Linked DNA regions of Oryctolagus cuniculus. The protein of the gene in region 5 purifies or fractionates together with the protein of the main gene of each other region. This does not show direct contact. Links are inferred from orthologs where the notes say so. Each region holds a gene or a part of one and is shown on either strand. Other genes may lie near its edges. The genes, in order: NIPSNAP2, C1QBP, LLGL1, LLGL2, PRKCZ, CSNK2B and PARD6G.

The links.
Region 1: the proteins of PRKCZ (region 5) and NIPSNAP2 purify together in Homo sapiens (affinity purification with mass spectrometry; 3 studies listed by BioGRID and IntAct, counting the BioPlex papers as one, with this or other methods). This does not show direct contact. The link is inferred for Oryctolagus cuniculus from reciprocal best matches to the Homo sapiens genes PRKCZ and NIPSNAP2.
Region 2: the proteins of PRKCZ (region 5) and C1QBP purify together in Homo sapiens (affinity purification with mass spectrometry; 5 studies listed by BioGRID and IntAct, with this or other methods). This does not show direct contact. The link is inferred for Oryctolagus cuniculus from reciprocal best matches to the Homo sapiens genes PRKCZ and C1QBP.
Region 3: the proteins of PRKCZ (region 5) and LLGL1 purify together in Homo sapiens (affinity purification with mass spectrometry; 6 studies listed by BioGRID and IntAct, counting the BioPlex papers as one, with this or other methods). This does not show direct contact. The link is inferred for Oryctolagus cuniculus from reciprocal best matches to the Homo sapiens genes PRKCZ and LLGL1.
Region 4: the proteins of PRKCZ (region 5) and LLGL2 purify together in Homo sapiens (affinity purification with mass spectrometry; 7 studies listed by BioGRID and IntAct, counting the BioPlex papers as one, with this or other methods). This does not show direct contact. The link is inferred for Oryctolagus cuniculus from reciprocal best matches to the Homo sapiens genes PRKCZ and LLGL2.
Region 6: the proteins of PRKCZ (region 5) and CSNK2B purify together in Homo sapiens (affinity purification with western blotting; 3 studies listed by BioGRID and IntAct, with this or other methods). This does not show direct contact. The link is inferred for Oryctolagus cuniculus from reciprocal best matches to the Homo sapiens genes PRKCZ and CSNK2B.
Region 7: the proteins of PRKCZ (region 5) and PARD6G purify together in Homo sapiens (affinity purification with mass spectrometry; 6 studies listed by BioGRID and IntAct, counting the BioPlex papers as one, with this or other methods). This does not show direct contact. The link is inferred for Oryctolagus cuniculus from reciprocal best matches to the Homo sapiens genes PRKCZ and PARD6G.

What each region holds. Positions count from the first base shown.
Region 1 is NC_091450.1:65,799,000-65,802,802, reverse strand, and holds part of NIPSNAP2 (protein NipSnap homolog 2), read right to left. Parts: coding exon 3,754-3,803; intron 3,669-3,753; coding exon 3,623-3,668; intron 719-3,622; coding exon 624-718; intron 282-623; coding exon 211-281; intron 1-210. UniProt on the Homo sapiens protein: Protein involved in mitophagy by facilitating recruitment of the autophagy machinery required for clearance of damaged mitochondria.
Region 2 is NC_091448.1:50,895,961-50,900,318, reverse strand, and holds the start of C1QBP (complement component 1 Q subcomponent-binding protein, mitochondrial), read right to left. Parts: upstream 2,860-4,358; 5' UTR 2,772-2,859; coding exon 2,546-2,771; intron 2,259-2,545; coding exon 2,108-2,258; intron 1-2,107.
Region 3 is NC_091448.1:62,280,570-62,283,092, forward strand, and holds part of LLGL1 (lethal(2) giant larvae protein homolog 1), read right to left. Parts: coding exon 2,459-2,523; intron 2,310-2,458; coding exon 2,156-2,309; intron 850-2,155; coding exon 554-849; intron 308-553; coding exon 43-307; intron 1-42. UniProt on the Homo sapiens protein: Cortical cytoskeleton protein found in a complex involved in maintaining cell polarity and epithelial integrity. Involved in the regulation of mitotic spindle orientation, proliferation, differentiation and tissue organization of neuroepithelial cells.
Region 4 is NC_091448.1:5,031,434-5,035,236, reverse strand, and holds part of LLGL2 (LLGL scribble cell polarity complex component 2), read left to right. Parts: intron 1-1,533; coding exon 1,534-1,631; intron 1,632-3,627; coding exon 3,628-3,709; intron 3,710-3,803. UniProt on the Homo sapiens protein: Part of a complex with GPSM2/LGN, PRKCI/aPKC and PARD6B/Par-6, which may ensure the correct organization and orientation of bipolar spindles for normal cell division.
Region 5 is NC_091438.1:163,707,987-163,711,789, reverse strand, and holds part of PRKCZ (protein kinase C zeta type), read left to right. Parts: intron 1-630; coding exon 631-712; intron 713-1,629; coding exon 1,630-1,679; intron 1,680-1,767; coding exon 1,768-1,956; intron 1,957-3,803. UniProt on the Homo sapiens protein: Calcium- and diacylglycerol-independent serine/threonine-protein kinase that functions in phosphatidylinositol 3-kinase (PI3K) pathway and mitogen-activated protein (MAP) kinase cascade, and is involved in NF-kappa-B activation, mitogenic signaling, cell proliferation, cell polarity, inflammatory response and maintenance of long-term potentiation (LTP).
Region 6 is NC_091436.1:138,946,968-138,951,199, reverse strand, and holds the start of CSNK2B (casein kinase II subunit beta), read left to right. Parts: upstream 1-1,307; 5' UTR 1,308-1,326; coding exon 1,327-1,398; intron 1,399-2,463; coding exon 2,464-2,566; intron 2,567-3,126; coding exon 3,127-3,242; intron 3,243-3,649; coding exon 3,650-3,725; intron 3,726-3,869; coding exon 3,870-4,059; intron 4,060-4,232. UniProt on the Homo sapiens protein: Regulatory subunit of casein kinase II/CK2.
Region 7 is NC_091441.1:99,583-104,125, reverse strand, and holds the start of PARD6G (partitioning defective 6 homolog gamma), read right to left. Parts: upstream 2,971-4,543; 5' UTR 2,806-2,970; coding exon 2,734-2,805; intron 1-2,733. UniProt on the Homo sapiens protein: Adapter protein involved in asymmetrical cell division and cell polarization processes. May play a role in the formation of epithelial tight junctions. The PARD6-PARD3 complex links GTP-bound Rho small GTPases to atypical protein kinase C proteins.

The DNA.
Region 1 (3,803 bases), on a different chromosome or scaffold from region 5:
AACTGACTTTTATAATAAGAATTGTTATTAAATAGGATTATATAACTGGTGACTTTATGTTTACCTACAACGTCCAGTCCAAACAATAAAATTTGTACTATAAAAAAATAGTCTAGGAACAAAAACTGATGACAGGAATCATTTAATTCTGCACTAACATCTAGTGTTATCTTTAGTGTGAATCAGCAAAAATTTTTTCAAAATCATTACCTGATTTTCTCTGAGCTTATTCATGACCTCTGTGAGTGCTGGGTAGCCTCCTTCATACCTCCAGAGGTGGACTGAAATGCATTTTAAAAGACAGTGGACATTTAGAGTTTCATGATATCCTTATCTTGAAAATACCCAAGAAATATCCAATATTAATAAAGTACTAAACTGTGATACACCATGTGTTGGCTGGTAAGCTACACCACAAAGATTCAGTAATAGACCCAAACATTAAAAACAACAGAAGAATAGTTTTTGCAATGTATTATTGAAGAAACTACTTTAACCATAAAATGAGACCGAGACTCAGAACGCTTGGATTACAAAAAACAGGCACCGAATTAGAAAACGACTTAAGTGGTTATATTGGGCTTAAGGAAGAAGTGTTCATTCCAAAGACTTGTGCTTCCTACCAGCTTGATCCTGCTCGCCATACCACGTGTTCCAAGTCCCCACCAAAGTGCAAGGGTAATGTTTATCTTCATGAATCTTTGGCAATACCTCTTGACTTAAAGAGAAGGAAAAGCAGCATTAGTCAAACAACGCACACCATTTTACCAAGTGGACAACAGTTAAGTCAGTAACAGGATCGAAGGCTACATACCCTCTTCCTGGCAACGGACCTCATGGCATACTCATGATAAGATGACATGTGGAATTAACTTATAGCTGAATTCTGCTGCACTCCAGCAACCCACTCAACTGTCTGATACCCCAACTATCTACAAGAGTTGTAAGCAATCCACGCATACTGACAAAAATGCCAAAGAAGAGCCAATGGTCCCAAGATTCTAGGAGCAACAGGTCTACTATTTGCCATCTCAGGGGAAAACAAAACAAAACAAAACAAAGCTTCTGAGGAATGTGATGTTTATAAAAGCTAAGTTCTGCTGGTTCCAAAGACAGGAAGAATGAAAGACATGAGAATACTAGAAAAGAGCGTGGAGGAATGAAGAAAGGGAAGAAAGGAATGTTCAAGACAGAGGCAGACGACACAGGTGGCGCCAGCAGGCAAAGGTGACAGGAAGAGAGGACAATCTGGCCTTAGGGAGGAGGAAGACAGGGCTAGAACACAACACAGAAGCAACCCCAATCTCCAACAGTCCCGAAGGCACCAACGTGGCAGAAGAATCAGAATTAAAGATACAACGCAAAGCCGAAGTTAGGGTCTATTCACCTCAACCAGCTGAGGGGATCCGAGTGTCACAGTCACACTGCACGCGGCGGCCAAGCCATCACCTCTGAGTGCGTGGAGCAGTGGCACGGCAGTGCACTAAATTAACAGTGTCTCAGAGCAGAGCTTCATTCCACGGACCCTTCCTATCAGAGACTGCAATGTACCGGGGAAGGCAAAGCCAAGAGGCATCACTGTTCTACTCCAAGAGAAAAGCTAAAGCCTACACAATCTTGAATAGAAACATTATGTGAAGAAAATCCAATACAGATTCAACAGTGGATGCCAAAGGATATCACGGCTCAGACATGGAACTTGCTCAAATCACCTGCCGATGTGGCGTGATACTAAATTAGTGACTACCACCACACCTGGGGCATCAGGACCAGGTGTGTATGGACAGTTAGCAGAGAAAAACTCCAAACAGCATGTCTAACTGAAAAACCATATGTATTTATGATCCAGTACGAGGACCATACCATGTGTATTTTTTGAAGATTGGCATTTATTTTTTAAGATGATCTGATCTTCAGAAATCAGGGGTAGGGAAAGATGAATGATGATTGGGAAACTGAAATGGGTTTCTTTTTTTGGCATGTGACATGTGCAGGAAGAAAACCACCCTGAACTGGAGCCAACGCAGAGGAAGGAAGTTGGTACAGATGACCCAGGTGGGGTCCAGAAAGGGGCTGGGGGCTTGGGTTCTCCACCAAGTCAAAGTCATATATGGGTCTGTAGCCAATCCTCTTTGCTGGGGGCCCCAAACCTGCTCTTGGAAGCCCTTGCCTTACCTGAACGGAGGTTGTAAGGTAGGCAGTACTTGTACCCAGAACTGGATGGGTTGGGCAGAATCTCATTATTGGGGCCCCTAAAAACCAGGCAGGAGTTAAGTCTTTATGTTCAGGAAACAGGGAGCTGCTGAAAGTTTCGGAGAAAAAGAAAAAAAAAGAAAAAAAACATGATGAGGGAGAAAACAGAACTCAGCAGATCAATCTGACAAACTTTTGGGTAATGGACTGCGGGGTGGGGTGGAGACACAGCTACAGTCTTGAGCCCAGAGAGGCAGTCAGAAAGGAGATGACTCAGGAATGGGGCTCAACAGCTTGGAGACGGAGACGGAGGAGGAAATGAGCAAAGAGAACCACAACACACGTCAAATGAAGGACGCACAGCCCTCAGTGACCAACTCATCACAAAGAACTAAGGAAAGGGTGCAGTAAAACATGGTGAGCGCACAGACAGCAAAGTCGGGAGGGCAAGGTGATTCTACACGTCCAGTCTGAAGTGAGAGCAAGACATCCAAATATAAATATGAACAGACAGCCAGAAATCTGAGACAGGAGATGCAGTGATAAAAACAGGACAGGAAAAACAATCGAGGGGAACATCAGCACAGAGAAACTTTTTCATTCTATGAGCGGGTAGCGGGTATTTAGAAACAAGCATCTACTTTGTTGCAGGGCATTCTGTAAATAAAGAGAAATGTGCTGACAAGGGCAAGAAATTCTATGCTAATGTTACATTTCACAGAACACTTCCACAAACAAAACAATAGAATGACAAAAGCTTTTTCTCTTGAGAATTACACTGACTCTGGAGACAAAATCATCTGCTTTCTCATTATATTTGCTCACAAGTGTTCATTAAAATACCACCTCTGCTAATTAACTCAATTCTCCCTCTAGTCTTAAAGTTTACCAATTCTTTTTGAAGGGGGTACAGCTCTCATATCATAGGACCGTCAGCCAAAGGGACTTAGATGCTATTGAGGGAAGAATTGGGAAGAAGTGGAAGCTGTGCTCAACCACAGCCAGGACTCTCACGCGGCAGTCTTACCCGGGAGGAAAACTGGAAACGATGGTGATCACCAAGACATGAGTTCAATTCCTAACACTCAAAGCTGCCCAGAGATTGATTTAAGCACAGGCAGGCAGGAGAGTCTGCAGGAAGGGACTCAAGCACTGGATGAGCAATGACCTTGCCAGGTTCCTCCCAGCCTTATGAGCCTGGTAACACCCTGAAGATTGACAGACAATGTGAGGATTTAGCTGTGTGCGTGCTTAAAGCCGCCATGCCGCTGGCAACCCCACACAGAGCCATGACTGACGAACCTCTGAACACTCGGCTTTAATGACAGGCATGAAAGAAAATCTCTCTCTCTACGACCAAGTACTAGCTGAACTAACCAATATTAAGTGTACTTTTTCCCCCAAGTACAAGATAGTCTGGTATACGTACCAAATTTTGTTGTACGCATCTAGGCATTCTGGTTTAACGTTGTGAACTGAAACAGAAGAAAATCCCATGACAAACTTATGAACAAAGCAGGGGAAAAAGTCCCCCGTAAAGACAGCTAATTTATCACTCACACTGTAACTTGTATAGACTGCTTGTTTCCTTTTTGGCTAGGAGATTAGAG
Region 2 (4,358 bases), on a different chromosome or scaffold from region 5:
TCTGGTCGTTGTGGCCAACTGGGGAGTGACTGCGTAACTCTTTCAAATAAATAAATAAATCTTTAAAAAAATAGTTCACTTGGTGTAGTCAAACAATAACTAAAAAAAGTGTATGTCAATACCAATAACATAGGGAAAGGAAAAAAACACCCAAGGATGGGAGAAAACACTTGCACACCCTGTGTCTGATAAGGGGAACTGCACCCAGAATATCTAAAGCCCACCTTTAAGGCAATAACCTGGTAACCTGGATTCAGCTCCCAGCTCCAGCGTAGCCTATACCTGGACATTTCAATATTTAGGGAGTGAAGTAGCACATGGGAGCTATCTGTCTTTCAAAACGACAGTAAAGGCCGGCGCTGTGGCTCAATAGGCTAATCCTCTGCATTGCGGCGCCTGGCACACCGGGTTCTAGTCCCGGTCGGGGCGCCAGATTCTGTCCCAGTTGCCCTTCTTCCAGGCCAGCTCTCTGCTGTGGCCCGGGAAGGCAGTGAAGGATGGCCCAAGTGCTTGGGCCCTGCACCCCATGGGAGACCAGGAGAAGCACCTGGCTCCTGCCTTCGGACTGGCGCAGCGCCGGCCGTAGCAGCCATTTGGGGGGTGAACCAACGGAAGGAAAACCTTTCTCTCTGTCTCTGTCTATAACTATCTGTCAGATAAATAAAATTAAAAAAATAAATAAATAAAAAACCAGAATCACAAAGTAAATAGAACCCTGTCAAATGCCTGCCAACAAATGAATGGATAACTGACAGAACAAGGACATGAGCCTCAGGCATTGTGGCTCTTTGCCTGAGGGACCCTTTACCTTCCTTCAAGAGACCAGCTCAGTCCTACGCCCTGTACTGTTGCCCACCCTACCCTCTGCATTCTGCATTCCATAGAAAAGCTAGCTCAGCTCCACTGCACCTCATGGCCCTTATCAGGCCTATGCTATTTAAATCCAGCCCGTAAATAAATTCCTGCTCTCTCGGCCACGTGTTCTGTCTGTGCGCATGCCAGTGGTTGGCCATCTTTGCAAATTCACTTGTCTTTTTTTTTTTCCTTTATGATTTATTTATTGTATTTGAAAGACAGAGTTAGAAAGAGATCTTCCATCTGCTGGTTCACTCCCCAAATGGCTACAATGGCCAGATGGAAACCAGGAACTTCTTCCAGGCCTCCCATGTGGGTGCAGGGACCCAAGCACTTGAGCCATTTTCCGCTGCTTTCCCAGGAGCAGAAACAGGGCGCTGGGTCAGAAGTGGAGCAGCCAAGACTTGAACCGGCACCCATATGGGATGCAGGCACCGCAGGTGGCAGCTTAGCGTGCTATGCCACAGCGCTGGCTCCCATTTTTCTTCTTAATTGATTTTGGCCGTTGACTTCGTATCTTGTCTCCTCTGGTCTGTCTCCCATTTCCTTACATAAATAAAATCTAGCATATCCACATAATGAAATATTATGTTGTCATTAAAAAAGCTAACTATTGGTACATGCTATTACTAGTATGAATGAACCTCAAAAACAACGGGGGTGCGGGGGTGACAGTGTTGTGGCACAGCTGGCTAAGCTGCTGCCTACAACGCTGGCACCCATAGGCTGCTCTGCTTTGGATCCAGCTCCCTGCTCAGACGCCTCTCTGTAACCTTCTCTCTGTAATTCTCTTACTCTCTGCCTCTCAAATAAATTAATCTTAAAAAAAAAAAAAAAAAAAGCTGGCCCAAGTGTTGGACCCTTGCACCCACGTGGGAGGACATGGAAAAAGTGCCTGCTGCCTGGCTCCTGGCTCCAGCTTGGCCCAGCTCTGGCTGTTGGGGTGGATGGAAGACGTCTCTAACTCTACCTTTCAAGCCAATAAATCAATCTTGGGGGGGGGGGGGGAGGTAGACACAAATGGCCACATATTGCATGACTCCCACTCACACAAAATGTCCCACACAGGCAAATCCAGAGAAGGCAGCTTGGCGGTTTCAAGGGGCCGGAGGGGGAAGAAGGGACAGGGCGGCTGCGGAAGGGTCCCGCTGTGAAGTCACACGGGGTGGCTGACATGTGGCTCCAGCGAGCTTAGGGTCCCGAGCCAGAGGCCGCCCCACGCCGCGCACCCCGGGGCGCGCCGTGCACTTACTTCTCCCCGGCCACTTTGCGCACGAGTTTAGCCTCTGTGCCGTTCACCTCCAGCTCCCAGCCTCCAGACATCTTGGGAAGGGCTTTATGCTTCTGGATTTTCTTCTCCTCCTTAATCTCGTCGGTAAGGAAATCCACAAAGGCTTTATCTCCTGGGGAGGAATCGCGGAGACGTCAAGGAGCGCCAAGCACCCGACAGGGACCCGGGGACCCGGGGACCCGGGGACCGCCGCCCTCTGCCCGGCATCCGCCTCGCCTCCCCAACGCTATCCGGCCTGGAAGCGGGCAGCTGCATCCGCTCGCCCGGAGAAGCCAATTCCGTCACGAGCGCCGCAGCACCCCACCCCCCAAACCGCACCCGGGGCCGGGGGAGCCGGGGAGCGGTGCTGTCAGTCGCCGTCGGGAATCAGGTCCCCCACGCCACGCGCGAGCCCCTCACCCTCCGTGTGCAGCGCGCCGCAGCCGCAGGAGCAGGGCTCGCGAGCCCGCAGGAGGCCGGGCCGCCGCACCGAGCCCGCGCGCACGCTGAGCAGCCCGAACGGCCGGGCGCAAGGCCGGGGCGCGGGCAGCAGCAGCGGCCGGAGCGGCGGGGCCGGGGCCGCGGCGCGGAGGCCGGCGACGGCGGGGCCCAGGGCGCGGGGCACGCAGCGAAGCAGCGGTAGCATCGCGCGGACGGCGTCAGACACGTGCGGCGGCGACGGACGACCCGGGCCAAAGCGCCCAAGTGACCTCCCGCCGCCGGAAGCCCGCCCTCGCCCGGAAGCGTCTCCCGCCGCCGGCGCTCCAAAGACCGAAGGCACCGCGGGCCGGATGGCGCCCTCTGCCGGGGACCGCCGGTGCAGCCTCGAATCCGGATTCCTGGACCGCCCCGGGAGTGTGTTGGGGTCTGGTGCGCAGAGCTTTGTGGTTAATTCTCAGAGCGCGCCAGGCTTGCACACGTCCTCCACACTCGACGGCAGCACACCTCTCGCAGGCCTTCTCTGCTCTCTCGTGTGCATCAAGCCCTGGCTTTGCTCGCTTGCCTGGCTGACTCCCCTCACTGCAGCCAGGTGAGACCCAGAGGCGCGAGGCGCGGTGCCCATGGTTAACCTCTCGTGACTGGCTTCACCTGCTCCCTCCGGCCTTGCATCCAAGTTCTCAGGCAAAGTCATTTTGCCGGGAGCCAGAAGCCATGGCTAACATCTGGTTCTGCACTCGCCAGGGTGTGGAAGGTACCAAGAAAATGTCTCCCTAGCTTTGTGGCAATCGTAAGGCTAATACTTAATATTTTCAAAACAGCTTTCTGTGAATAAGGGCAAGGACACACAAGAAAGAAGGGACATGCATCATGTACAAGACTTGTTCTCAATGGACACTTGCTAGTCAGGTGCGAATGTGAGCATTATATATATACACAGGAGTTGATCTTTTCATAGCTTTATTTAAGACTCAAAATACAACGTACGCCTGAGCCAACCTGATTTTTTCCCTCCCTCGGGATTTCTCTGCAGGTTACAATATTCTTATGAAATACAACATAACATTCTCGCCCACGGGGCCCGTGCTTTCTCTTATGCTAAAGCACTGGTGTCAGAGATGCATGGCCACATCCGTAGTGGACGGAGGATTTAGGTATCACAGTGCAATTTCCCTCCCCGAGCAAAACCTTGTCCTCATCTGGCATCTCCTTCCCAGTCAGCAGGTTTGCAGCATGAAAGCTTTTTATCAAGGACAGGGATTGGGGTCCTCGCCCTTGTAAGGAAAGGTGCCCTACCCCACGTTTCACCCTCTGTGATGATGTAAGCAGGACAGCCGCCTGAGCCACGCCCCACGCCGCCTGCTTGAGGACACTGTTTGCACACAGCCGCTCAGAGGAGGTGGGAAAGGGTAGCTCGGGGCTATGGTGCAGTGTCACTGTGAAAGCGCTAAGTTTAAGGTGTAGCATCCCCTGCAGCTCGACAGACAGGTCTTATTTCTGTGTTAGTGACGTGGAGCTAGGGTGGGCTTTCCAACCTGGATTCATCCCTGAGCAGCTATGATAAAAAAATAACTTCCTTAAAAGCCCAATAGAAAACTAAATACTATATTAAAAACTACCTCAGTGTTACAGGGGTAAACATATTTCTGTACTGAAACATGAAAGCTACTTAGAAGCTGTTTGCATCCTCTGCCCCCCGGAGAAGAACATGAGTCTCTGGAAACTTCTCGGGTGCTTAAGCCGGATATAAATTACGCAAGGTGAGTTTTACCTGACCTGGAGAATACCTCTCGCT
Region 3 (2,523 bases), on a different chromosome or scaffold from region 5:
CCTGGGCCAGCCCCCGGCCCCGTTCCCGCAGGCCTCACTCACCCTGGCCGTGCCGAGTGAACACACAGGAGGCGATACCGCTGATGTCCTCTTTGCGGATGCACGCGTAGTGCACCTGGGGCCGCAGGCCGGGCACCGAGAACACGTGCACGTCCCCCAGGTTGGTGAGGCAGGCCAGGCACGTCTCGGCATAGTCCTCGCAGGCCACGCTCGCAAACGTGGCCAGGGCCACCTTGCGCACGCGGCAGCCCTCGTGGGCTGTCAGCTTGAACTTGGTCTTGGCACTCACTTTGGGCAGCGTGAACACCTGGCAGCGGGCAGGCAGCCCGTGAGCACGGAGCTGGCCGGGCCCAGGCCCTCACCCTGCCGCCTGTATGCCCGGGACACACGGACACACGTTCCTCCCCCAGTGCAGGGCATCCCAGACGCTGGCCAGCCTCCCCCATCTGGGGTCACCCCGGCCTCGCGGTGTGGGTCTCAAGGTGGTGTCTGCCGGCTGGTGGCATTCCCATGGGCCTGGGGAACGTGGGCAGGGCCCCGAGGACCCGCTCACCTTGAACTGTTCCTCGGAGGCGATGAGCACGGCGTGGCCCCCCTGCATGTCGGGCGCCTGCGCCAGGTCCCGAGAGGCCTCGTAGGGCTCGGGCAGCGGGCGGCCGCGCCCGTCCAGCACGGCGATGGCCACCACGGGCGCCCGGTGCATCAGCTGCACCTCCTTGCCCAGCACGGCTTCCACCGCCCGCTCGGGCCGCTTCTCGCCGCCCGCCGAGGCTGCCGGCACCTCCAGTGCGTAGGCAAACACGGAGCCCGAGTTGGTGCCCGCCCACATGGTGGGCCCATGGTGGGCCGCTGCGGAGACGGGGGTGCCGTGAGAGGGCGCGCCACTTCCGGCACCCGGGCGCAGCTGCCATCTGCGAACCCCACACAGCACCCTGCCCCCTCCAGCCCCATCCCACAGCACCCTCAGCCCCCGCCCTCCATCCTCATTTTGCAGGCCACCCCAGCCCCTGCCGCACCCCCACCCACAGTGGGGAGACAGAGCCTCTTGACCACAGAAAACCCCAGGCCACCCATCAGCCCTGCTCTGGCTGTGGCAGCCGAGCACCACACACTCCTTGGAGACGCGGAGCAGGATGGAGGGGCCAAGGAAGGTGTGGCACCCACCACACAGCACCCTGACCCACTGCCGGACCTAAGCCAGCCCTGAGGTGCCAGCTGCCAGCCTCGGCCACCATGAACGGGAGTCAAAACCCCATGCCTGGGGCCGGCGCTGTGGCGTAGTGGGTAATGCTGCTGCCTGCAGTGCCGGCATCCCATGTGGGCGCCGGTTTGAGTCCCAGCTGCTTCACTTCTGATCCAGCCCATTGCTAGTGCGCCTGGGAAGGCAGCAAAAGATGGCCAAGTGCTTGGGCCCCTGCACCCACGTGGGGGACCTGGAAGAAGCTCCTGGCTCCTGGCTTCAGCCTGGCCCAGCCCTGTCATGGCCACCTGGGAAGTGAACCAGTAGATGGACAATCCCTTTGTCTATCTCTCCCTTTAAAAAAAATTAATTATAAAAAAACTGTGACCTGCTTCGGGCACATTTAGGGGGTAGGAAAATCGGACAAAGGCCTGTGACAAATACCTGACACCAGACAGCAGCCCCTGGACAGAGCCTGTGCTGAGACGTGGGCGAGGCAGGCAGTGTGGGCGTTGGGACGCGTGTCAGACTCCTGCCCGGGCTCTCACCTCAAGCACCGCAGCGAAGCCAAACGGCTCAGTGCGGGGTGCAACAGGCTCACCAGCGGCATGGGGCCATCAGTCAGGAGCACAGGGCAGCCATGTGCCTTCTCCGTTTTAAAATCCTCCACAGTATGAGTTAAAAGCCAATCAAGGAATCGGGCCTCCCTGGGCCCTCAGCCATCCTGCCCTCCGCCTCCCTCGCTCCGTCCAGCTGTGGGCGGGGCAGTCCCCCACGCGGCCGACCACAGGGCCTTGGCACTGGCCGCTGCCTCTCACCGTTGTTCCCCAGAACTCGTTGAGGCCTGCCCAGCTCCAGCTGCCCCCACAGAGGGACCGTGCAGGTGGCCACCAGGGCACCCTGGCACACAACATTCTGGAACCCTGGAGGCACAGTCCCCGCGCCCCCCGGCCCCCACTCCCACCCCAGCCTCACCATCTCGCAGGAACGTGTCGGCGAAGTAGAGGCAGCGCACCACGCCCGAGAGGGAGTCGTCGGCAGAGCGGGGCTCGATGCGGCGCTGCACGGGCGTCATCTCCACGTCGTGGGGGCAGGCCTGCTCCGCCAGCTGTGCGTTGGCCTCCTGCAGCTACAGGCGGAGCGGCCCTGAGGCTCAGCCCTGCGCCCCGGGGTGCCCGCCCGCCACCCTCCAGCCCACCCCGTCCACCCCAAGGGCTGAGGGCTGCTGCGAGGGGACGGCGGGGGGAGGGGAGTGGGGCGGCGCCCGGCCCAGCCCACCTTGCTGTTGGCAGTGGCAGCCCGCTTCTTGCCCGAGACACGGCTCTTGCGGATGCGCCGGAAGG
Region 4 (3,803 bases), on a different chromosome or scaffold from region 5:
CTCCCACCAACCCCCGGCCTGGCGGTAAGGCAGGCAGGCACTGGGTTTGCTAAGCTGGCGTACTAGCTGACCCAGGACCTGGGTCTGCGTTCTGAGGCCAGGCGGCCTCGGCTGCCTCATTGTTGCACTTTTCCTGCAGGGCAGGGTCTCTGTGGTTGAAAAAGTGGCTCACCAGGCTAATCCTCCGCCTGTGGCGCCAGCACCCCGAGTTCTAGCCCCGGTTGGGGTGCTGGTTCTGTCCCGGTTGCCCCTCTTCCAGGCCAGCTCTCTGCTGTGGCCCGGGAGGGCAGTGGAGGATGGCCCAAGTGCTTGGGCCCTGCACCCCATGGGAGACCAGGAGAAGCACCTGGCTCCTGGCTTTGGATCAGCGTGGTGCGCCGGCTGTAGCAGCCATTTTGGGGGTGAACCAACAGAAGGAAGACCTTTCTCGCTGTCTCTCTCTTACTGTCTAACTCTGCCTGTCAAAAAAAGAAAAAGAAAAAGCAAACGAAAGAAAACGGTCCTTCATGCAGCTGGCTGGCACGCTCAGCTGTGCGGGTCGGGACCCCCGGGACAGGGGGAGGAGGAGCAGGACCCACGCGTCCTGGTTTGCCCACCTCCATCTGTGCTGCAGATGTCACTGGGTCATCGTCTCAGGCAGCAACAGCAAGAGCCCACGTGCTCCTGCATGCGGTCGGCAGTCGCAGGGCCTGGGAACGGGGCGCGTTGGAAACCACGGCCTGGGGAGACTGCGGCTCTTCCAAGGCCGGTGAGAGCTTTGCACGGCCTGGCCGACTGAAGTGGAAGCGCGGGCTACCAGGCCTTCGGTGTGCGGGACCTCGCACACGTGTCTGCACGGCGGGATCCCGGGCACGTCTGTTCCCACGTGTGACGCACACTCACGGGTGTTCCCAGGCCCAGAGGGTGTCCTCGGAGCCGTTAGCAAGCGCTGCTTGTGGTTGTGAGGGACCGGCTGACTTAAGCTCTCTCGCGTAGTCTGGGCCTAGCGTGTACTTCCGTAGTAGGAAACCGACAGAAGCGTTCATCTGCAACAGCGCTCCGGAAACTCCTCCCTGGGAGTTGCCTGGGGGTCCTGGTGGCGACAGGAGATACAGGGCTGGAGGACCCGCAGCCCAGGACCCTGCAGGCCCAAGCCCACCGTGTAACCAGGCGGCTTTCCCGAGGGCTCGGGGTCTCTGCTGTGCTGGCCCCACACACACTTCCCCACTCCACACCCCCACAAGGCCCCCGACTACTGCAGGAGGGCTGGCTGGGGTCCCCAGGGTGCTGATGCAGGCTCCAGCTCAGTTTCTGGAGAGTGTGAGTGTGAGATGGCCAGCGTGGTGTCAAGAGAGAAGGCCCCTGGGCTGTCAGACTGCCAAGGACAAGGTGGAAACAAACTGGGGCAGGGGCCGTGTGGGTCTGCGTTCAGCTCCAACATCAGGTGTCTGGGAAACTAGGGGGACTGAAGTGCTCTGGCTGGGGTGGTTCTGGGCTCCTCCGGTCCCAGCTGCTGTGGGCAGAGGGGACCCAGGGACGCTGTTTGCCTTGCAGACGGTGGAACATGGCTTCCCGCACCAGCCCAGCGCCCTCGGCTACAGCCCCTCCCTGCGCCTCCTGGCCATCGGCACGCGCTCCGGAGCCATCAAGCTGTATCCTTGCGAGGGCCCCTGCGGTGGGTGAGGTTCAGGGGAGGCGGTCCCTTCCCTCTTGCCCGTGGGCTGTTGGGAAAAGGGCACAACTTTGTCTGATTCCCGCCTTTGGAAGTGACTTCCTTGGAGGCCGACGGGGTGGGTATGAGCTGGCCAGCTGCTGGCCTGTCCCTCTGGGGAGGAGGGGGAGGTTTGAACCCGAGGCACGGTTTCTTTTGTCTCCTGCGTCCGCTCAGGGCCAAGAAGCTGTCCCCCCTCCTTGTAGCTTCCCTCCCTCACCCATCGCTGGAAGTTTCAAAAATCAGTCTCAACTGTGCAGGAGCCGTGAGCCCCAAGGAGAGAGGCCCAGCCCCTCCCTCCTTCTGCCCTACAGGGCTGAGCCGAGGGTCTCAGGGAGGAGGGGCCTGGAGAGTTTTCCTGAACTCTGCCCAACAAGGCGATGGCTGGGAGACACCAAAGGGGTCTGCCTCCCCCAGTTCCACTCCCCCTCAGAGAGGCAAGTTAGAGGACTTCCCATTTCTGTGGCCCGTCCCGCGGTTCCGTCCACGAGCAGAGACAGGGTGGCCTCGGGTGAGGGCAGCACTGGGAAGGCAGCTTCGCCTCCAGGTTCTAGCCCCCCCCCCACAGGCACACACCAGAGGGTGGAGACCCCTGCTGGAGGGCACAGTCCCCACCCAGCCCCCCCACCCGAGCCTGAGGCTGGTGTCCTATTGGGTCATCTTTTATCCAGAATCGGCCTTGTTCTGGGCTGGCTTGGGGCTCCAGGTGGTTCCACGGCGAGCCCCCAAGTTCCAGAGAGGATTGCTGTGAGCTTCTCCAGCCGCTCTGGGCTGGACCACAAATCTGAGTGCCTCCTCTGCCGTCTGACCTGCACTGCCAGGGGCGGGGCCTAGGGGAGCAGAGCCCCTTGGATAGCTCGGCTGGCGGCTGGCACTTCCTGCAGCGGAGCCCCAACTCCTTCCTGTTACCCTGCTGCAGCTTGGGGGGCGGGGCTGCTGGCCTGCTGTGTACACAGCGGAGCAGGGGCCCAGATCCTCCTGCTGCCAGCTCAGCCCTCCCCTGGCTGGTTAATCATTGCCGGGACTCGGCCGGATCCTGGCTACCAGTGCCTGGTGCCACGACTCGTAGGCAAAGACTGTTGGGGGTGGACACAGGGGTGCCACCAAGCAATGGATGGTCGATCAGTTTGGGGAAACAGGTGTGGCAGCCAGTGGCCAAGACTGGGCCTCGCCTTCCTTTAAAAAAATAGGAGGGCAGGGGGACAGTGTTGTGGCGTGGCAGGGAAAGCCACTACCTGCAACAGCGGTGTGCTATGTGGGCACCGGTTCAAGTCCCGGCTGCTCCACTTCCAGTCCCGCTCCCTGCTGATGGCCTTGGAAATGCAGCAGAAGACGGCCCGAGTGTCTGGGCCCTGCCACTGCTGGGAGCCCGGAGGAAGCTCCTGACGTAGACCTGGACATTGCAGCCATTTGGGGTGTGAACCAGCAGGTGGAGGATCAACCAACCTCTCCCTCCCTCCCTCCTTCTGACTTTCAAATAAAGATACAAGTTTATTTGAAAGAGTGACAGAAGAAAGAGATCCACCATCTGCTGGTTCACTCCCCAGATGCCCTCAGCCAGCCAGGGCTGGGCCAGGACCCAGCCAGGAGGCAGGAACTCCGTGTGAGTCTTCCACGTGGGTGGGAACCAAGTCCACGAGCCGTCACCGCTGCGTCCCAGGGTGCATCAGTAGGAAGCTGGATCAGGAGTGGAGCAGCCAGGACTTGCCCCGGGCGCTCCAACAGGGATGTGGGTATCCCTCTCCTGCCACAGCAGCCGCCCAGAGCTTTACCTGAGAAAACTGCCCCTGCTCAGGCCACTGCTCTCTCTCCTCACCCCAGGCCCTGGACGTGGTCCTGCTGTGCCAGGGTGTCTGTGCTCCTTGCGAGGGGCCCTTGCACGGGGCAGATCGGGGCGGGGGTCCAGCCTTCAGAGCTTTTCCTGAGCCTTCTGCCAGCTACGGCGCCCCAGGGGTGGAGTTCATGGGGCTGCACCGGGAGAACAATGCTGTGATGCAGATCCACTTCCTGCCTGGCCAGGTGAGGGGCCTCCTGTCCCCCGCTCCCAGAAGAGGTGGTTTGGGGGGAACGCTTCGGGTTTGGAGCTGACGGCGAGACCCGTGACCACCTCCCT
Region 5 (3,803 bases):
TGGGGAGTGTGCAGAGCCGTGTGGTGGGGTCACGGGGTCAGGAGTGTGCAGAGCGGGGTGGGGAGTGTGCAGAGCCGTGTGGTGGGGTCACGGGGTCAGGAGTGTGCAGGGGCGTGTGGTGAGGTCACGGGGTGGGGAGTGTGCAGAGCCGTGTGGTGGGGTCACGGGGTGGGGAGTGTGCAGAGCCGTGTGGTGGGGTCACGGGGTCAGGAGTGTGCAGGGGTGCGTGGTGGGGTCACGGGGTGGGGAGTGTGCAGAGCCGTGTGGTGGGGTCACGGGGTCAGGAGTGAGCAGAGCCGTGTGGTGGGGTCACGGGGTCAGGAGTGTGCAGGGGTGCGTGGTGGGGTCACGGGGTGGGGAGTGTGCAGAGCCGTGTGGTGGGGTCACGGGGTCGGGAGTGTGCAGGGGCACGTGGTGGGGTCACGGGGTCAGGAGTGAGCAGAGCCGTGTGGTGAGGTCACGGGGTCAGGAGTGTGCAGAGCCGTGTGGTGGGGTCATGGGGTCAGGAGTGTGCAGAGCCGTGTGGTGGGGTCACGGGGTCAGGAGTGTGCAGGGGCGCGTGGTGGGGTCAGAGGTCACAGGAGCGTTGCAGAGCCGCGTGGTGACCCTGCCCTGTGGTCTCCCGGGCAGGATTCTGTCATGCCTTCGCAAGAGCCTCCAGTAGCCGACAAGAGCGACGACGCGGACCTTCCTTCCCAGGAGACTGACGGAAGTAGGTGCCGCCCTCTCCCTGCTGGGCAGAGCGCAGCCCCTCACCCTGGGCCCTGCCAGCCTCCCTGACCCACTCAGCCGACAGCGTGCCACGGGCACATGAGGGCCTTGGGCAGGGACATCGCCATGAGGTGCGGGGTGGGCGGGGACAGCTCCATGGGGTGCAGGGTGGGTGGGGACATCGCCATGGGTGCGGGGTGGGCGGGGACATCACCATGGGTGCCGGGGTGGGCGGGGACAGCTCCAGGAGGTGCGGGGTGGGCGGGGACATCGCCATGAGGTGCGGGGTGGGCGGGGACAGCTCCATGGGGTGCGGGGTGGGCGGGACATCGCCATGGGTGCCGGGGTGGGCGGGGACAGCTCCATGGTGCCGGGGTGGGTGCGGGGTGGGCGGGGACAGCTCCAGGAGGTGCGGGGTGGGCGGGAACATCACCATGGGTGCCGGGGTGGGCGGGGACAGCTCCAGGAGGTGCGGGGTGGGCGGGGACATCGCCATGGGTGCCGGGGTGGGCGGGGACATCGCCGTGGTGCCGGGGTGGGGGCTGTGCACCGAGTGCCGGCTCCAGGGGTTCTGGACAGCAGCCAGCAGCGCGCCCTCAGCTGGGCGCTGCGCGGAGCCCTGTCCCCAGGGAGCCCTGCGGGCCTGCACACGGCGGGGCAGCCTGAGTGAGCTTTTCTTTCCCGGCGTGGAAGCGGCTTCGTCTAGTTGGGACGCATTCGGAGCCGCGCGGACGGCCCCCGTGTGGGCTGGGCCCGGCGTGAGCCGCAGCGCTGGGCGGGGTCTGGCCCGGAGGGCCGCGGGTGGGCCGGACAAAGGGCACGGGCGCTCGGAGGGCCGAGCACGGCGCAGGCGCGCGCCGTGGCGGGGTCTGCGGCCCGGGAGGTGCCCCCGCCTGAGGCGGCTCTGCTCTCCCTCAGTCGCTTTCATCTCCACCCGGAAGCAGGACAGCGGCCAGGAGGACGCCGAGGTGAGTGCCGAGGTGGGCGGGACCTCCACGAGGTCGCCCCAGAGGGCCCCGTCCGCGGCCCCGCCCTGACGCGCCCCCCCCCCCCCAGGACCTCAAGCCCGTGATCGACGGCGTGGACGGCATCAAGATCTCTCAGGGGCTCGGGCTGCAGGACTTCGACCTCATCAGGGTCATCGGGCGCGGCAGCTACGCCAAGGTCCTCTTGGTGCGGCTCAAGAAGAACGGCCAGGTCTACGCCATGAAGGTCGTGAAGAAGGAGCTGGTCCACGACGACGAGGTGGGCGCCGGACCGTGCATGCGCCGCCCCCATGGCCGACACACACGGACCGCGCATGCGTTGCCCCCATGGACGACGCACACGGACCGCGCATGCGCCACTCCCACGGACGACACCCACATCCCACGCGCGCGCTAGTCTCACTGAGGACGCCCACATCCCACGCGTGCGCTAGTCTGAGGACGCACACATACCGCGCATGCGCTGCTCCCATGGACGACGCACACACTGCGCATGCGCTATTCCCATGGCGGCCGCGCGCGTGACGCGCATGTGCTGGTCTCGTGGCGGCTGCGCGTGAGGTGGGCGCGCGTCTCGGGTGGGCCTGAGGTGTGCGCGAACCGCGGTGGCGGTGGCGGTGGCGGTCGCAGTCTGTTACCGCTTGGGGTCGAGTCGCCGGCTGCGCGCTCGGCAGGGTCCGAAGTCGCGGGTGATGGCGTCTCTCTAAAGCAGCTTCCTCAGCCTGATGCTCCCTGGAGGGCGCGGAGCGGGCGCGGGTGCCCGCGTGGCCGCAGCGCCCGCGTGGGAGGCAGCCGGCCAGGGAGGAAGTGCGGTGCGCGCACCCCCAGCGAGGGCGAGGGAGCCCTGGCCCGCCGGCCCCCCAAGCCTGTGTGCTCCGCGCCCCCAGGGAGCCCCTGCCGGCCCCACCCGGGTCACACAGGGCGGGGGCTGCGCGCGGGGAGGGGCCACGCAGAGGTGGCCTGGGGTCCTGGTCACCCAGAGGCCTGGGGTCCTGGGCTCCGAGATGGGACTGGGCTTTCCCCGGGCCGATCCCAGCGGCGGGGCACAGCAGGTCCCCGGGTCCCCGTCCCTGAGCCTCGTCTCTCCGACGGCTTCCGCCCCTCAGTGGGGTGACCCAGGGAGCCCCAGACCCCCTCAATGGGGGGTGACCCAGGGAGCGCCAGGCCCCCTCCGTGGGGGGTGACCCAGGGAGCCCCAGGCCCCCTCCGTGGGGGGTGACCCAGGGAGCCCCAGGCCCCTCAGGTGGAGGAGGTGACCCAGGGAGCGCCAGGCTCCCTCCGTGGGGGGTGACCCAGGGTGCCCCAGACCCCCTCAGTGGGGTGACCCAGGGAGCGCCAGGCCCCCTCCGTGGGGGGTGACGCAGGGAGCCCCAGACCCCCTCCGTGGGGGGTGACCCAGGGAGCGCCAGGCCCCCTCCGTGGGGGGTGACCCAGGGTGCCCCAGGCCCTCTCCGTGGGGGGTGACCCAGGGAGTGCCAGGCCCCCTCCGTGGGGGGTGACGCAGGGAGCCCCAGACCCCCTCCGTGGGGGGTGACCCAGGGAGCGCCAGGCCCCCTCCGTGGGGGGTGACCCAGGGTGCCCCAGGCCCTCTCCGTGGGGGGTGACCCAGGGAGCCCCAGGCCCCCTCCGTGGGGGGTGACCCAGGGTGCCCCAGACCCCCTCAATGGGGGGTGACCCAGGGAGCCCCAGGCCCCCTCCGTGGGGGGTGACCCAGGGAGCCCCAGACCCCCTCCGTGGGGGGTGACCCAGGGAGCCCCAGACCCCCTCCGTGGGGGGTGACCCAGGGAGCCCCAGGCCCCCTCCGTGGGGGGTGACCCAGGGTGCCCCAGGCCCCCTCAATGGGGGGTGACCCAGGGAGCCCCAGGCCCCCTCCGTGGGGGGTGACCCAGGGTGCCCCAGGCCCCCTCAATGGGGGGTGACCCAGGGAGCCCCAGGCCCCCTCCGTGGGGGGTGACCCAGGGTGCCCCAGGCCCTCTCCGTGGGGGGTGACCCAGGGAGCCCCAGACCCCCTCAATGGGGGGTGACCCAGGGAGCCCCAGACCCCCTCCGTGGGGGGTGACCCAGGGAGCCCCAGACCCCCTCCGTGGGGGGTGACCCAGGGAGCCC
Region 6 (4,232 bases), on a different chromosome or scaffold from region 5:
GGAGAAGTGCAAGGGGACGAGCAGCAGGATGGCCGGCGCCGCCTCAGGTTAGCGCACCGGGCCGTCCTGGTTGTCAATAACGCTCAACTCAGGACAGACACACCCGACCCAGGTCCCTCAGCACGGAGCCCGTTCGTACCTCCCACCTCAGAAGGCCCGAGCTCAGGGTAAAACGTGGGGCTCTCCTGTGCAAGGCCGTGCCCGACTTGATAAGAACTAGGAGGGTTGGCCAGGGCTCACTGAGGGTCCCCGAGGGCAACGTCTGCGACCCGACTCGCCTCGCTTCTTCCCCCGCCCCCTCTTGGCCCCTCAGTCCAGTGAGCATACGACTCTATTTCCCAGGCTCCTGGCCCCGAACGCCTTACTTGGCTTCCGCTTCCGGTGGCGCCTCGCTGTGCCCCGCCCCCGAGCCGCGTCCTCGGGGGCCTCGCGACACGAGGGTCGTGAGTGAGCTGTCCTGGGATTCGTAGTTCGCTTTTCCCTCGCTTCGCCGGTCTCTCGCCCTAGCGGACTCCATCTCCCAGCGTCCACCGCGGCTCTCGCCCCTCGGCGCTTGCGCGTTGCCCTCTTCCCCACCCTCCCCGATTTCCACTCCCCCCACCCGACTTCGCCTGCCGCGGTCGGGTCCGCGGCCTTCGCTGTAGCGGTCGCCGTCGTTCTTTGGAAGCAGCTGTTCCCCTCCCCCACCCCGGTCCCGCTCCCCGTCCAGCTGGTGAGTGTGAAGTGGTTGCCCCGCGGAGTTCCCGGTCCCTAGGAGCGGCACATGGGGTCTCCCCGCCTTGAGGTGGGGGCGAGGAAGGAAGTGACCCGGTCCGTAACCGTGGGAGGGAAGGGTGGCCGGAGAGCGGGAGGCAGGCTGTGGGGACTCCGTGAAAGAGTACCTGGCGGTGCCCGCCCCTCGCCCCGGGTCGTGAGAAAAGGAGGTGTCGGTCGTTGCTTGGCAAAGATAAACTTCTAATTCTTGGGGAAGGGTGCCGGAGCCCTGCGGTGGTAGGGAGCCCGAGCCGAGGACTCTGCCAGAGTTGACACAGGCGAGAGGGGTCTGGCCATCGGGGGCGCGGGGGATGTAGGTAGGGACTGCTGGGTCGGTACTTGTGGGCTCCTGCCAAGGAATTTCTAAGTTCATTCAGAGAAAAGGGGCCGAGGTGTAAATAACAAGAGCTAGAGAAGCCTGTCCCAAAGGCTGGGATCCTTTAAAAAAAAAAAAAAAAAAAAGGGTGGCCCCAAATTCTTCCATGGCTGAAAGACAGAGTGTGGGAGGAGGGAAGGTGCCAGAGCCGGGGAGGGAGAGCTTGGACTTGACTCCTGTTTCCAGCTGACGTGAAGATGAGCAGCTCGGAGGAAGTGTCCTGGATTTCCTGGTTTTGTGGGCTCCGTGGCAATGAATTCTTCTGTGAAGTGAGTGCTTTTCGTTCTTCCTACTCGCTGGTTCCATGCGTTCAGGTTGGGTATCTTCAGCTTTTGCACACTTTATCCCGTGGAAACTCCTTCCCGTGAAAGAAGGGGTCCCCTCAGTAACCCCCCACTAATCAGCGGCGATGTGGCAAGACTGGGGCCCAAGTCCCATTTCTGTCACACACCCCACCGCACCCCCAGGAGGATAACATTGAACTAGTCAGACCATCTTTTTTTTTTCTTTTTCTTTTTTAATTTTTTTATTGTACTTAAAGTATCTGAAGGTAGAGCAACAGAGAAAGTGAAGGATCTTCTGTCTACTGGTTTATGTCCCAAATTTCTACAACAGCTACTGCTACCAGCCAGGCTGAAGTAAAGATCCCAAAACTTACCTGGGTTTCCCATGTGGGTGGCAGGGACTCAAGTACTTGTGCCATCACCCTGCTACCTTCCAGGGTGTGTGTTAGCAAGAAGCTGGAATTGGAAGTGGAGTTGGGACTTGAACCTGAGCATTCCAGTTTGGGATGTGGGTTATCTCTAACCATGTAGGAACCACCGTGCCAAGTGTCCTTTCTCCTTTGCTTTTTCATTACTAGAATGCTACTGGTAGTGCTTATCTCTGGGGGCTGTTAGGAGAATTGGAATACTGCACCTTAAAATGTTCTGTAACATGCAAAGCTCTGTGTTGACATAAGGAATTCTAACCACCTTCAGAAACCAAGCTGTTCAGCCTCCACCTTCCTCAGAGAGCAGCTGTTCCCTCAGGAGAGGACAGAACTGGTTCCTAGAGATGAGGAACAGGACTAGAGACGCGGGAGTCGAGTGTGTCTCTAAGGAGACTGCTGTGCTTGCTTGTCCTTGGAGGAGAGAAGCTGGAGCTTTCACGGGGGGGAGGGCGTGCGTGTGAACTCGGGACAGCGGCTGAAGTACTGACGCTGAGTTGGAGTAGGAAACAGGCAGACCAGACGCAGCCGTGTGGCCGACAAGGCGTTCGTTAGGTGACCTTGGCCAGCTCAGAAGCTGGGGGTCCCAGTAGGAGTTTTCCTCTTGACCTCCGTGTTCTACCAGGTGGATGAAGACTACATCCAGGACAAATTTAACCTTACCGGCCTCAATGAGCAGGTGCCTCACTATCGACAAGCTCTAGACATGATCTTGGACCTGGAACCTGGTGAGACACCCTCAAGGTTCATGGTGGGGGGGCTGTTTTTCTCTTCAAATTACCTCTTGAATTTACCTCTTGAATTTCTAAACTTCCTTTTGGTTCTCTGACACCCTTAACCTCAAAGTCCCAGCAGCATTTTTGCCCCCCTCCTTGAATTCTTGCCTAGTTTTGTGACTGATAGCACTTGCTGCCATACTTTCTGAATTTGTAGCTCAGCGCTCCTCCTTATGCGAGTTTCCTCGCGGGTCTTGTTTACTGCCTCTTTGCCTGCCTTGCACCCTCCAGTCTAGAGTTCCACCTTCTGTGTTGACATCTTTGTATTTACGTACTAAGGAAGGAGTTGGGAGGGAGAGAAGAGAGCAGAGGCTGAAGAGGTGTGGAGAGAAGGCTGGGCTTCCTTGGGTTGGTGGAAGGGGCAGAGACCCAGGTTAAATGCCCACGTGAGGACTGGGTGAAGCTCAAGGATGGGTGCTGGGCAAACTGGGCAGCCAACAGCCCTGGGGGTGGGCGGGGCACCTGGGAAAGCTGGAACGCCAGTGGTTGCATGTGGCTGGCCCATATTTCAGACGAAGAGCTGGAAGACAACCCCAACCAGAGCGACCTGATTGAGCAGGCGGCCGAGATGCTTTACGGATTGATCCATGCCCGCTACATCCTCACCAACCGAGGCATCGCCCAGATGGTGAGGCCTCTCTGCGCCTGCGTGACTCCTTGTGAGGCAGTAAGGGAAACAGGTTCCTACAGTGAGCAGTAATCTGGCAGCCCTGTCAAGGAGTCGAGCTGAGATGAGAAAAACCCAGAGTTTGGGCCGGGAAACTGAGTCCTCCCTGGACGTCCTGCTGAGGGGGTGTCTTCAGGGAGGGCGATGTGAGCTTGGTCAGAGTTGTGGACTGCTTCTTCCTCAGAGAACAGACGGCAAATGGCCCTGGATGTCATTAGCCTCCCTAACTGGGGGGAAAGTTGGTGGGCCCCTTTGATCTGCACAAGGACCTCCAAGAAGAGGGAGGAAATGTGGAGGACAGAGTTATGTGGGGGTCGCTGCTTATCCTCATACCCACCCACCAATCCCTTCCATTTTTTTCCCTTCAGTTGGAAAAGTACCAGCAGGGAGACTTTGGCTACTGTCCCCGTGTATACTGTGAGAACCAGCCAATGCTTCCTATCGGTGAGTATTGAAGAAGGGAGAGGGGGCACCATCTGGCAGTCCTCTGGGAAGGAGTTGGGCTCAGCAAGGCGGGAGCTGAGTTCTGGGGCAGGGGACTCGGCAGTGTCGCGGGTGCCTGGCCTGCTGAGTCTGGCTGTCTCCCAGGCCTGTCGGACATCCCAGGTGAGGCCATGGTGAAGCTCTACTGCCCCAAGTGCATGGACGTGTACACACCCAAGTCATCGAGGCACCATCACACGGATGGTGCCTACTTCGGCACTGGTTTCCCTCACATGCTCTTCATGGTGCATCCCGAGTACCGGCCCAAGCGACCCGCCAACCAGTTTGTGCCCAGGTGGGGAGCAGACAGAGTCACCATGTGTCAAAGGAAAGACTCAGAATCCCCCAGAGAGAAGGGTGGGCGGGGCCTGGCCCTGTCCTGTGGCCAGCTGCTCCAGAGCCAGGGCTTCTTCCTGCTGAGGGACTGTGGGAAAGTTAGTTGACAGCCTGTGTCTTAGCTTCCTTGTT
Region 7 (4,543 bases), on a different chromosome or scaffold from region 5:
GACAAGCACCACAGACGGAGCCTGGCCCGGCAGGAGTGGGACAGCTTTGCATAGGACGCAGCAGCCCAGAGTAGAGTCTCAGCATTTGCAGATCGGGACACCAAGGCCCAGAAGGTGTGGACTGAGACCCCATGCAGTGGGTCATCAACACCTAAGCCAGGAGAAGGCTGAGACCGGGGTCATCCGCAGCCGCGAGGGGCTCTGGGCTGGGCTCCTCTGTTGCTGGAGACTGTGTGTGGATGATGGTGGGGCTGGAAACAGCAGGGAGTCCGGGACACTGCTGAGTTCATAAGGTCCTGCGTAGTTTCCAGTCTTCTCAAGGGAAAATTCCTCTCTGGTTAGTCTGCACGGAGACCGGCCTCCCTGTCACCCTCAGAAGGGGCCGCGGCCTGTCCCCCTCCCCTGCACATCGAGTACTCCCTCCCTGCAGGCCTCGTGTGAGGAGACCACAGCATGAGCACAAGTGCACACTGCCGGCTTGGACAGGAACCCGAGTGGCTGGAGTAAGGTGTGGCCGTTTGGGGACTGGGACGGGGTTGGGGAGACACACACACACACCCTACGCATTCCTACGTTGTGGGCGCCCGGTCACTGTCACCACTGCCTCCTTTTATTTTGGGAGGAGAGCAGAACAGAAACCACGCCCATCCCAGGCGGAACAGCTAGGCCTTGGAGAAGTCAAACACCTTGCAGAAGCCTGCACGGGTGGCAGTGGCAGAACACGCAGGCCATTTCCCCACAAGCAGCGCCTGTGGAGGTGGGCTACACGGCAATGAGCAGTAACCACGGAGGGGCGAGCGGAAGGAAGAGCCCAGGGACGCGCGGAAAGAGCTCGGGCAGCCCCAAGCCCTGCCAAGGCCAGTAGTTCTGCCTCTCACTTCCAGGACAGCACCTGCAGCGTCTGAGCTAGACCCAAGCCCAGTTCGCAGAGCCAGCCTGGAGGAGGCGGGCAGGTCACACTTGAGAGACCTCAAAGGCAGGCTGCTGCCCTCCCCACCCTGAGGCAAGGGACAAGGCCTGGGGGAGGAGCACTGGGTTATCAGTTCACACTTGAGGCAAGAGAGCCGTGGGAGCAGGCAGCAGGAGGGGTCCTGGGGCCCTCCCCGGCCTCGCAGGTGGCCAGCATCTCAGATCTGCAGGCACCAAATGAGCACAGATGGTGCTCGGCCTGGCACGGCCCTGCGCAGGTCCTAGCTGTCCTCAGCATCCGGGAGAGGGGGACGGGGCTCTAGTCTACAACCACCTCGGGGTCAGCGACGGCCCTGCGCAGGTCCTAGCTGTCCTCAGCATCCGGGAGAGGGGGACGGGGCTCTAGTCTACAACCACCTCGGGGTCAGCGACGGCCCTGCGCAGGTCCTAGCTGTCCTCAGCATCCGGGAGAGGGGGACGGGGCTCTAGTCTACAACCACCTCGGGGTCAGCGACGGCCCTGCGCAGGTCCTAGCTGTCCTCAGCATCCGGGAGAGGGGGACCGGGCTCTAGTCTACAACCACCTCGGGGTCAGCGAAGGTCTGGGAACAGAAAGCTTTGTGAAACCAGACACGGCCCGTCCCTGGTAACCCTACCGTAGGTGCAGCTCCAGAGCGGGCGGCCCCGACACGCGGCCCTGGCCCTGGCGGGTGCCAGGGACGGTGTGCACTCAGGGCCACGGAACCAGAACCCGGGTGAGGGGCAGTTTCAGAAGACGACGGTGCGTCCCAGGAGGGGCAGGAAACCCCAAGGCTCCCTGCGGCCCGCGTCCCATCCTCTGCCGACGCCCGGAAACCTACACCAACCCCTTCGGAACGCCGCCCTGAGCCCCCGGACGGCTGTGCCAAGAGCTCTACCCAGGCCGGGGCAGGGGAATGCAAGGGCGCGAAGATGCGGCCCCCGCGCCGCGTTCAGCAGAGGCTGCAGGGGTCGCCCACAGGCGCTAAGGGGCCGCCCGCGCAGAGGCAGCAGCGCCAGCTCCCCGGCCAATTACCCAGGCTCGCGCGGCGCAAGTTTGGACACGCTCGGGGCGCGCAGGCGGGAGGCGGCGGGCGCGCCGGGAGCACTGGGTCGGGGGCGCGCCCGGTACTCGGGGTCTTCGGGGTGTGTGTCGGGAGCGCGCCCGGTGGGGGCAGGGCCTACGTGGGAGGTTCGCCTGCGGGTTGGGGTTTCTGGGCCGAGGGCGCGCCTGAGGCTTGGGTGGCTGCGCCAGGGGCGCGCCTGGTGGTTGGGGGAGAGCCTGAGTCGGGGGCGCGGTCAGGGGGTCTGGGTGTGGGCCGGGGAGGCGTCCGGAGCTTGGGGGCCTGGCACGGAGCGCTGGGCGGGGGGCGAGGGTCGGGGCCGGGCGCCCAGGAGAGAGCCGGCGGCAGATCTCTCCCCCGCGGGGACTAAGGCTTCTTGGAGCTAAGCAGGCGGCATGGCCAAGGCCCTCCTCCGGCCCGGCCCCCAGAGGCCCCGGCCCAGCCCCCAGAGGCCCCCGCACGGCCCCGAGACCGAGCAGCCGGCGGCCCCCAGCTCGCCCCGGAAACACCGCCCCCAAACGTGCGCCGCGCCCGGGTCGCCTTTCCTCGCCGAACAAAGAGCGGCTACCGGGAGTGGGTTCCGAGCGCCTAGACCCAGGCGGCCTCGGCCCCCGACCGCCGCAGCCCGCAGACCGTCCCGGGCTGGCTTTGTCCGCGCTTGGGCGGGAAGGACAGCGGCCCCCGGCGCCCGGCTGCGGGCTCAGACGCCGCTTGGGCGCTCGCGGGGGGCGCGCGGGGCTTACCTTGCTCTTGACTTCGACCGCGCCGCAGTCGGGGAAGCGCAGGGTCTGGGACCGGTGGAAACTCCGGTTCATGGTTTCGGCCCCGCTCCGCCTCACCTTCGCCCTCGCCCCTCAGGGGCCGCAGGAGGATGCCTGGGGAGCAGCCGGCCCGCGCTGCCTCGGCCACCCGGCTGCTCAGCGTGCAGCGGCCCGGAGCTGCGCTGGCCGCGCGCCTCGGGGACTCCAGGGCCGCGCGCGAGGGGACGCCGGCGCGCGCCGCCCGCCTCCCCGCGCCGAGCCGCCCGGGCCCCGCCCCGCGCCCAGGACTCCCCGCCCACAGGGCCACCGCCCCGCCCCGCGGCCTGGAGACCCGCCCACTGGGCCTCCGCCCCGCCCCCCACCTCCCGGGCCCTGCCCCGCGCCCGGGACGCCCCGCCCACAGGGCCGCGTCCACCACGCCCCGCCCACCCGCCCCGCTCCCGGGACGCCCCGCCCCGCCCCGCTCCCGGGAGACCCCGCCCACCGGGCCACTGGCGGGCGGCCGGCTTGCTCCCCACGCTCGCGCACCCGAGAGGAGAGGGACCCCACGGAGTTGGCAGCGGGCGGCCTGGGACGAGGCTGACTGGGGCCGTGTCCCACGCGGTCCGGGAGGGAGACCCTGGAGGGGCGTCCACGGCGGGGCTGTGCCCGAGAGCACGGACCGCGACGTCCGCAGGGAACGGAGCGGGGTTAGAACCGCGGCGCGTGCGAGCTTCCACTCGGGTACCGTGGGCGACGGCGACTTGGCTGCAGCGCGGGGAGGCGGCGGGCGACGTCAGAATCACCCGCATTGTCCGCGACGCTGCCAGACTGACTGTGCTCCTATCCGGCTTGCCGCGCGCTTGTAGGCTGAGCATTGGCGCTAAACACAAGTTGCTAAGGCTGCGTGGGGCCGGCGCTGTGCTGTAGCGGGTAAAGCTGCCGCCTGCGGCGCCGGCATCCCATATGGGCGCCGGTTCGAGTCCCGCCTGCTCCTTTTCCCATCCAGCTTTCTGCTGTGGCCTGGGAAAGCAGTGGAGGATGGCCCAAGTCCTTGGGTCCCTGCACCCGCGTGGAGACCTGGAAGAAGCTCCTGGCTCCTGGCTTCTGATCGGCGCAGCTCCTGCCGTTGCAACCAGATGGGGAGTGAACCAGAAAGCCTCACTCTCGCTCTTGCTCTCTCTGCCTCTCTGTGTAACTGACTTCCAAATAAATACATACATCTTAAAAAAAAAACTTGAATTATATTTCTAAAATCTTTAATACAGAACACCAAATTGTACTCCAAGTTTAATTTTCATTTAATTTTGGGACATTTTTAGCCTGCTCCATGCCAGGGTGTAGTCCAGAATGAGTCACCGCGCTCAGAGGAACACCAGGCGGGAGAGGGCAGCAGGTGCACGGGTTTCCAAACAAGCAGGGCTGCCCAGAGGTGCACCGCGGACTTCTTTCCACCTTCATCCCCGAGGGAAACCACAGGCTGTCCAGTTGCAGCAGGGAGCACGCTCCAGTTCAGGACTACCCTGAGGAAACACGCCAACCCAGACACCTTCAGAAATGCAGGGATGAGGGGGGTGGGCAGGCAGCAGGGCAGCAGTGGGTGGAGACTTACCACGGGAGGGCTGCGGACCCTGAATTTGGCCTCTGGAGCAGCTTGATGCGGTGAGATCATGTATTTAATGTGTATGGCTCAGAGTGCGGTCCAAGGCCAACACCTGCTCCACCTGGTGCTTGCTAGCGATGCCGCACCCCAGACCCGCTGCATCTGCACTTGAACGGGGTCCCAGGTAATGGTGTCACAGAGAAGGCCGAC